Linked DNA regions of Canis lupus familiaris. The protein of the gene in region 1 interacts with the protein of each later gene in a biochemical or structural test. Links are inferred from orthologs where the notes say so. Each region holds a gene or a part of one and is shown on either strand. Other genes may lie near its edges.

The links.
Region 2: the proteins of TNNI1 (region 1) and TNNC1 are reported together in a solved structure, tested with the Homo sapiens proteins (2 studies listed by BioGRID, with this or other methods). The link is inferred for Canis lupus familiaris from reciprocal best matches to the Homo sapiens genes TNNI1 and TNNC1.

The regions. Positions count from the first base shown.
Region 1 is NC_049228.1:1,600,310-1,604,733, forward strand, and holds the start of TNNI1 (troponin I, slow skeletal muscle), read left to right. Parts: upstream 1-1,545; 5' UTR 1,546-1,715; coding exon 1,716-1,783; intron 1,784-2,061; coding exon 2,062-2,065; intron 2,066-4,184; coding exon 4,185-4,226; intron 4,227-4,424. UniProt on the Homo sapiens protein: Troponin I is the inhibitory subunit of troponin, the thin filament regulatory complex which confers calcium-sensitivity to striated muscle actomyosin ATPase activity.
Region 2 is NC_049241.1:37,719,595-37,724,028, forward strand, and holds the start of TNNC1 (troponin C, slow skeletal and cardiac muscles), read left to right. Parts: upstream 1-1,607; 5' UTR 1,608-1,714; coding exon 1,715-1,738; intron 1,739-3,284; coding exon 3,285-3,315; intron 3,316-3,520; coding exon 3,521-3,667; intron 3,668-4,133; coding exon 4,134-4,248; intron 4,249-4,434. Other genes in the region: NISCH (nischarin), read right to left, coding at 39-134. UniProt on the Homo sapiens protein: Troponin is the central regulatory protein of striated muscle contraction. Tn consists of three components: Tn-I which is the inhibitor of actomyosin ATPase, Tn-T which contains the binding site for tropomyosin and Tn-C.

The DNA.
Region 1 (4,424 bases):
TACAGGGAAAGGAGAACATTGAGGGGGAGGTGGGAGGTGGCTCCGGAATGAAATCACCAGTAGCCGCTTTACAAGCGTCCTTGAGACTCTGCCCTTGCTGGGACCAAGCCAGGTTCTTGGAGCAAATTCCAACTCCTGACCTGCGGCGCCCCATGCCCCCTGAGGCGTACACACTGGCCTCCCCTATCCTTCACTGTGGGACCCAGCTGGGGATTCCTGTTCCGCCTCGCTCACCTGCTCCCACCCGAGTTATCCTTCTCCTTCCCCTGATCTTTTGCACAGTCCCTGCCCTCTACGGGAACGCTCTTGGTCCAGGCCCCGCAGGACGCTGAGCTGGGTCTGGCTTTGGAGTCGCCCCTTGTGCTGCCTCAAGGGACCCCCTTCTTGGCCTGGGTCCTCCAACTGTCGGGACTAAAGGGAGCCCCAGAACAACCCCCATCGGGGGCCTTCATAGTGCTCCATGGCCAGGGGCCCCCGCAGAGGTCCACGGGGCTCCTATGTACCCCTTCAGCCTGTGCCGTTTGCTCTTATTGCTGGAATTTGTTTTGCTTCCAATTAGAATTTGGTTTGAACAAAGGGGTGAAGAGCTTTTTTTAAATGGACAATTTGTCTAACCCCGATTCTTGCAGAGGAGAGCTGGCCTGGAGCGGGTCAGGATAAAGATGAGCATAGAAGGCAGGATTTGGTGGGGCCTCTCACCGTTCTACCCAGGGGTGTCGGTCACACTGCCGGGCCTGGGCACGGCACCCCGGGCACCAGGACATGGCCCAGCGTGTGCACGGCACCTCCTGGAGTTGTGCCAGGTGGCACTTACCTGTGCTCCATCTTGGCTCTGCACCATCCACCTTTCAGGCGGTCTCCTCCCTGGGGACTTCCGTGACCACCCTCAGCCCCAGGACACACTCTGAACGGGGCATGGTGTTTAGGGCACCACGATCTCAGTTTTCAGACAGATTTCTGTGGATTCCATTCTGTTCCGTGGGGGTTGGCAAACATTTCTGGAAAGGGGTTGATAGTAGATATTTTAGGTTTTGCAGGCCACGCAATGTTCTGTTGCATATTCTTTATTTTACAACCCTTTCAGCTTTTTTAAAAAGAGGCGGGAGGCAGGAGGGTTGGGTGGGGGTGGGGGACGGCAGATTTGGCCTGGGGGCCGTGGTTTGCATACCCCCCCCTCCCCCCCCCGCCTACATACCTGTCCAACAGAGCTCCTTTTGGTTCTTATATCCATTGCTTCTTTGCTTTTGTAAGATTGCTCTTTCTTGTGAGCGAATGAGTGAATGAATGAAAACAAAGAACCAATGGACAAGTGCTTATCCCATCCTCACCTGTTGGAATCCATTCCCCGGGAATCCTTCTTCCTGGGCCCAGCTGGGGCTGGGGAAGGCCTTCCACCTTTCCCACCTTGATGATTGCTTTGTGCCTCCAGGTGCTGCCCCCCCCCCCGACCGCCACCATGCCTGAAGTGTAAGTAGCGCCGCCCCCGCCCCGTCGGCCAAGCCCTTTGCCGCAGATTTTGGCCCCAGAGGGGAGGCACCTTCAGCTCAGCCCCCAGGAAGCCAGGTTCTAGAACAGGAACAGTCCTGAGACACCACGTGTCCTAGACTTTGAGCAGAACCCACGTCTAGGTTGCCTGGGGAAGACCTCTGGGTGTCTCTGGGCGGCTCAGGTGGCTTGCCTGTGTGCTGGGCCTCGATGTGACTTTGGCCCAGCAGATGAACATGGCTTTGGGAGTTTGCCCACGAGGCCAGGGTTGGAAGCTTTCACATGCTGGAACCCCGAGGTGAGGCTTCCCTGAGCGCCCCCCTCCCCCAGCTGACGGGCCGCAGCTCCCCGCAAGACCTCCAGTAGTCTCGAGGCCCCCTGGACTTTCATTCTGTCCTGCTGGCACTCTTGAGCTGGTCCCCTTGCCCGATGCCTCATTTCCTTCTGCTGTGTGCCTGGCACCACTCCGCCCCTGTCCGAGCTCGTCTACGTGGTTCTGCTGTTGCAAATGTGATACGAATTGCTCACGCTCTGTCTTTTGCTCTCTCCTGTCCTTCCTGTGATGGATCCCTAAAGCGAGGTAAGTGAGATCTGGGGTATGTCTTTCCTGGTTAGGTCTTCAGACTGGTGAAGGTGGGGTGAGGCGGGTGGGGGGGGTGTCCAGGGGCCGAGCATATTCGCCAGAGAATACAAATGTCGAGTGAAGATTCCGGGCAGGGGCTTCCGTGGGCACGGCCTCACCACAAGGTCATCCGGGGTTAGGGCTACAGCACGGCCGGTGTGACTCTGCATCCTTGCTGAGCGCTGGGCACGTTCCTCCTCATTTGCTCCGATCACTTGTCCAGCCTTGAGGGACCATCTGGGGTTTTTCTTGCAGAGCCAATCCTGTGCCAAGCCAGAGCAACAAGGGATTGTTGAAAGAAGGGGGTTCTTCTACCCGCTGCCCAGTGACCAAACGTTGAGAGAGGAGCAAAGAGGTGTCCTCACACTCCCCTCAGGTCTCAGATAATTCTGACCCTTCGACAACCCAGATTTATTCGGGTTACTGAGAGCAGAGCCTCTGCACCCCCCGGGCTGAGGAGCTGCAGGGACAGGGCTGTGGACTCTGAACTGGCAAGGGTGGGAATTAGCAGCCGTGGTGGACGGGGACCGGCACAGGGATTCCCAGTTACAATAGAACGCCCCACTTTTCCATAGTCCTGTGAATTTCTCAGTAGGAAAATGAGTGGCCACTGATGGGTAGTCACACGAGGTGGCCTCTGAGCTCACCGAGCAGTGAGGAAACGACATTGCCACGGGTGGGCGACGGGGCGTCCCCAGTGACAGGCAGTGATTCTGGAGGCAGGCCGTTTCTCCAGCAAGCACGCTGGGCTGATGTAGCCCGGACCTCACTTTGGGAGGCGGAAGGACGAAGCAACCACCCTGAAGAGTCGGATTGGGAATCCCACATTCCGTGCCTACAACATGAAGCCCATTCATTCCCCCCTTTCCTCCCTTAAAGGCCATTGGCTTCTGCTTTCACACTAGAGTAGCCACCGGGGTGAGGCCCCTGCACGCCACGTCCCCAAGGTGGCTGCTCGCTGGCCGCCACCAAAGTGCCAGCCTTGGGTCCCAAAGAGCGACGGGTGCTCAGAAGGCCTCCCAGTCTCGCGGGTGAGGGGGTGAGCACCCTCCCTATCCTCTCCCCTGAGGGGACATGGCTGCGCCTGTCTAGTTGGCTGGAATATGTCGGGGATTTTTATTTTATTTATTTATTTATGTATTTATTTATGTATTTATGTATTTATGTATTTATGTATTTATTTATTTATTTATTTATTTATTTTGCCGGGGATTTTTTAGTAGGAAGAGAAAACAATGTTTTTTTCCCCTTTTTTAATTAAAAAAAATTTTTTTATGAGAGTTCAATTTGCCAACACATCGCATAACACCCCGTGCTCCTTCCGCCAAGTGCCCCTTCAGTGCCCGTCACCCAGTCACCCCGAACCCTGCCCACCTCCCCTTCCACCACCCCTTATTTGTTTCCCAGAGTTAGGAGCCTCTCATGTTTTGTCAGCCTCACTGATATTTTCACTCATTTTCGAGAGAAAACAATGTTTTTTGTTTTTTTTTGAAAACAATGTTTTTAAACCTGAGAAAGAGTAATATGGATGGTGTCGATGTTAAAAAAAAAAAGAAAGAAAGTTGCGAAGCCTAAAAGGATAAACTTCTTCGTGTATGAAATTCAGGGCTTCTGTGCAAGGCGGGTCACCCAGGTGCTGGCTGCGACTGCCAGGCGCTAACCGTGCCTCCCAAAGCGTTTTCGCGTCCGTGATGTCACATGATGTCATTCTGTGTGTAGGAACTCCGGGAACTGAGGACGGTGGGTGGCAACATCATCCTTGTTTATGGACGAGGAAGGGAGGCGCCCATAGAAGTCATGTGACCCACACTGGACCCCCCCCCCCCCCCCCAGCACTAGAACCAGGATTGAAAAGTGAGGGCCTCAGCCTCTAGGTCAAGGTCAAGGTCGCCGACTCCAGCAGCATCCCCCGAAGTTGAGGGGGTAAATCACAAAGACGAGGGGCCCTTGAGGGGACCCTGTGGCGAGGGTTCTGGGTAGTGATGGTGAACTGGGCGGGCATGCGTGCTGGCCTCCACCAGATTTCCAGGTGTGCAGCCTCTCCCTCACCACCTGTCTCTCCCCTTCTCACCCACAGAGAAAGCCCAAGATCACGGCCTCCCGGAAACTCCTGCTGAAGGTGAGGCCTTGTGCTGGCTCTGAGGGGACATCCAGGGGGAGACTTAGGGGGGGTGCGGAGCAGTCTGTGGGGGTGCGGAGGCTTGGGGGAAGGTGAAGAGGAAGGAGGCCACAGCAGGAGAAGGAGGGGGAAAGGGGAGGGGGAGGCAGAGGGAGGCTGGCCTCACCTGGAGCCAGGTGGTCAGTAAGCGGGAGCCTG
Region 2 (4,434 bases), on another chromosome or scaffold:
CGCCACCCCCAGTCCTGGCGCCCGCGCCCCCTGCACACCGTGTACGTGTCCACGAGCTCAGAGCCCACGACGCGCGCCTCCTTGGCCGGCTCGGCCTCCCGCTCGGGCCCGAAGCTGCGCGCCGCCGCCGCCATGTTCCGGGCTCCGTTGCCGCAGCCTCCGCCGCCGCCGCCGCCGCCGCCGCCGCCGGGCGCAGACTGGCAGCAGCAGGGGGCGGGGTCAGCGTCCCGCCGCCCCCTGGGCCCCGCCGCCCCCCGCCCCCGCCCCCGCCCCCGCCGCGCGCGCCGCCGCCATCTTGGCGCCCCGCCCCGCCCCGCCCCGCCCCGCCCCCCGCGCGTAATTGACAGCAGCCGCCAGCAGCGCGCGTGCGCAGACGGCAGAGGCCCGAGCGCCGGCGCGGCGCGGTACCTTGGCTGCGGCCCGCGCGCCCCCAGGAGGACCGAGGCGCCGGGCGGGGACGGCTCTGCGCCCGGGAAGCGAGGACGGAACGCCCCGCACCGCCCGGGCCACCCGAGGGAAGCCACTGCTCCGCCTGCTCTCAGTTTCCCCTTCCAGAACAAGAGTCAGCCGTCGCCCCTCGCCTGGCTCTCAGGCTCATCCTCTGCAGGGCACGCACGGGATTGAAGTTAGGAGCTGTGCGCAGAGCCCGAGCTGGACACAGTAACTTGGCGCCAGCTCTTAACCTCTCCAAGACTTGGAGACCTCCTGTAGCGAATGGGATTAATCCACGCAGTGCCCGGCACTCGAGGCAGGGAGCTGGTGTGGTTATGGAGACGGGGCTCCGCAGGGGGGTGGGAGGGAGGGATGGGCGCTGGCCGTTGGGGCTAACAGGCTGGCCCTGGCCCTAGAAACTATAGTACTGGAATGGGGAAGCACAGACACAGAGATGGAGCCCTAACCCAGGGGAAGACCCCCACCTGGAAGAGGGGGATGGTAACCCAGCTGAAGGGGAAAAGTCTAGCACGGATGGGGCATCTGTACATGTGTGCACTGAATGACCAAATGCAGCTTACCCACACCCAGAGCTAGTGCTGTTCTCCCTGGGGAGATGAGAGGTCTTGGCTATGGATGCTCTGACACCCCTGGGCCCAAGGGCTCCAGAGCACTCTGTGCTAACGTGGGTGAATGACTTCCTTCTCCGGTGGTTACACAACGCCATACTCTGAACTTGGCATTCGAAGCTTCTCTTGAAAGGGCCTCTCTTTGCTGCATACTGCTGGCCAGCACCCTCCCTCCGCAACAGGCTTAGCTTAAGACGGGGGCTGCCAAGTCAGACGTATTCCGAACAAATCACCAGCCCTCCAGGAGCTTAAGTTTCCTCATCTGAAAAATGGGAATATTACCCATCTTCCTGATTGGATAAGAATTGAACTTCTGTGTGTAGGGGCCTGGCCTGGGGCCCACTATTTTTCAGCACCTGTCCTGTTCTTGGCTTATGTTTTCTTTCATTCAAGAAGACTTTCCAGAGAGTCCCCTAGGAACCATGGGGGACAGAAGGAAAAAGATGTGGTCCTTTTGCAGCCCTTCATCTGCTCCCTGCACTGGGCAGAGGACACAGGGATTCAGGCCAGCCTGAGATCACCAGGGCTGGGGGAGGGGGTGGAGGATACTGCAGGCTGGGGTGGGCTGGGCCGGCGGGGAATGAGGTGGGGCAGGGCTATTTAAGCCCAGGGCTGGCTGGCAACCCCAGCAGCCTGCCCTGTGAGCCGCCAGCATGGATGACATCTACAAGGCTGCGGTGAGGGACTGGGCTGGGCAGGGCTGGGGTGGATGGGCCCACTGGGGCCTCACTCAACTCACGATGGGGGGTGAGGTCACTCTACAAAGGTAGTGGGGACCTGGGAGAGGGCCCATGCAACTTTCAGCCCAGGCCCTCAAGGGGATGGATGGTGGATCTGGCATTCTAATTCCAGGGTGTAGAAGGAGTGAGGGGTTTAGGGTGAGGGGTTCAAGGTCTGGAGAGGAGCTTTTTGGAGGGTGGAGGAGGTCATAACTTTTAGCATCACGTCTGCCCCTGTCTCCAAGTGTCTGTAGTCTGTGTCACTATCTTCCAGCCACATCTCCCTTCACTTGTGTCTGTGGTTTTTGGATCTTTGCCTTTATCAGTCTCTTTCTATCTCTTTGTTCCTCCTCGTTGTCCCTCTGAGTCTCTGCTTCTGTTTCCCTGTCCCCACCTCATCCCCCTCTCCGTTTCTGCCCCTCACATTCTGCTCCTCACCCCACCCCCTACCTCCAGCTCCTTGGATGGCTGAAGATGCTGTGGAGGGTGGGACAGTTTGAGAAGGGGGCTGGTGATCCAGAATCCTGAGCTGGAAAAGGGGCTTAGAGGTTTGAGGTAGGCAGGGAAGCGCTAAGCATGGGGGAGACACAGGGAAAAAGGAATCAAGAACCAGGGCCCCCACCCCAATCAGGCCTGGAGGGCTCAGGGGTCAGTGGTTTAGCCAGGGGTGAGGGCTGGAGAGTGGTCACCCTGAGTCCCTGCAGCGTCCTAGGGTCACTGAGGGGCCTCAGATACTAGTCCCTCCCAGGAGTAGGTGGTGTTGCTGACCTCCCCCTGTCCCAGAGGCAAGGATGTTCGGCATAGACAACTGTCCCCAAGGGAACCCCTCCCTCAGCCCTGAGAGTGGAGTGCAGCCTCACTTCCGGGCAGGGGAGAGCTAGAGCTGGCTCTAGGGCTGTCCCTGCCTGTCCTACAGGAGTCCACAGAGCTGGCGGGGGAGGGAGCTGCCCTCCACCCTGTGCCCATACAAGGCCTGGTGGGGCTGGGGACTAATTTTGGCTCCTGAGGCACCAGCAGGCCAGGGGGCCAGATAATGCTGCCCCACCCCCTGCATGCCAGAGTCCCCAGAACAATCACCAGGTTTAACTTTGTCCCCCGTTAAAAATAGCCCAGTGGCCGTCCAGGTCAGGTTACAGTGGGTGGCTTTGCCTATCCCCACACTGGTTTTATTGTCCCAACCTGAGGGACAGCTGTCCCTCAGGCCACCCAGCTTGGATTTCACCAAGGGAGCCGAAAGGGCATTGAGTGGTCACTGACTATTGTTACTCGGGGTCACCTTGGCCCTGGAAGGGGCGCCCACCTGTCACCCTGGCCCTAAGCCCAGCCTCAGTGAGGCCAGCTGGGTCACCTCAGGACTTCGGGGGACAGGGAGTGAGGACTGAGGACTGTGACCTGGGAATGGCCTGCCTCTTCCTGGCTTCACTTTCCCCATCTGTGGAATGGGTTGATTTCCTTAATAGCAGCCAAGTCCTGAATCAGTCCTGAGACCTCTTTTTCTCTCCAGGTAGAACAGCTGACAGAAGAGCAGAAAAATGGTGAGTGCTCCAACATATGTGGGGGTACGACAGGGCCAGGCTGGGGGAGCATGAGGACCCCCGAGGCCGGGGTCCCTCTCACCGCAACCTCAGAGGTCTTGGAGGGAAAAGGCAGTTGGCAGATGGCCCCAGAGGTCTGGCCTTCTGGGATCCTGGCTTCTGAGCCCTGACCACTCTATCTTCCCCTCCTTCCCTTTGGACACAGAATTCAAGGCAGCCTTTGACATCTTCGTGCTGGGCGCCGAAGATGGCTGCATCAGCACCAAGGAGCTGGGCAAGGTGATGAGGATGCTGGGCCAGAACCCCACACCCGAGGAGCTGCAGGAGATGATTGACGAGGTGGATGAGGACGGTGAGCCCCCTGCCCCCCAGACCCTAGACCCACATCAGCCTCCAGTGCTTGGGCCCCAAATCCTGGCTCTGCCACTTATTACTCTGTGCCCTCGAAGGAACTTTTAACCTCTCTGAGCCTCAATCGTGTCATCTTCTGAAATGGATATAATGACCACACTCGTCTCACGGAGTTGCTATGAGAATGCATGCAGCAGGGCACCTGGGTGGCTAAGCAGTTGAGTGGCTGCCTTTGGCTCAGGGCATGGTCTTGCAGTCCCGGGATCGAGTCCTTCATCAGGCTCCCCTGCAGGGAGCCTGCTTCTCCCTCTGCCTGTGTCTCTGCCTCTCTCTCTCTCTGTCTCTCTTGAATAAATAAATAAAATATTTTTAAAAAGAGAGAGAATGCACGCAGCAAGAGCACAGGGGTTTAGTGTCAAGAGCATTCTAACCATCCCTCACTGATGGCTGGGCTGCTCACCTTGCAGGCAGTGGCACAGTGGACTTTGATGAGTTCCTGGTCATGATGGTTCGGTGCATGAAGGATGACAGCAAAGGAAAGTCTGAGGAGGAGCTGTCCGACCTTTTCCGCATGTTTGACAAGTGAGTGCATGACCCAGGATCTCTGACCTGACTCTTGCAGAGGTGGGGAAAGGGGGACAGTCTTGTGACCTCAAGGCCTCAGTTTCCCACTCTGTGCAATGGGAAAATGGGATGTCCCACCCCATTTTCAGTGCTGGCCCTGCCTTGCCTCCTGGTATCATGGGTGGGGCTTCTTCCCTTCCTCTG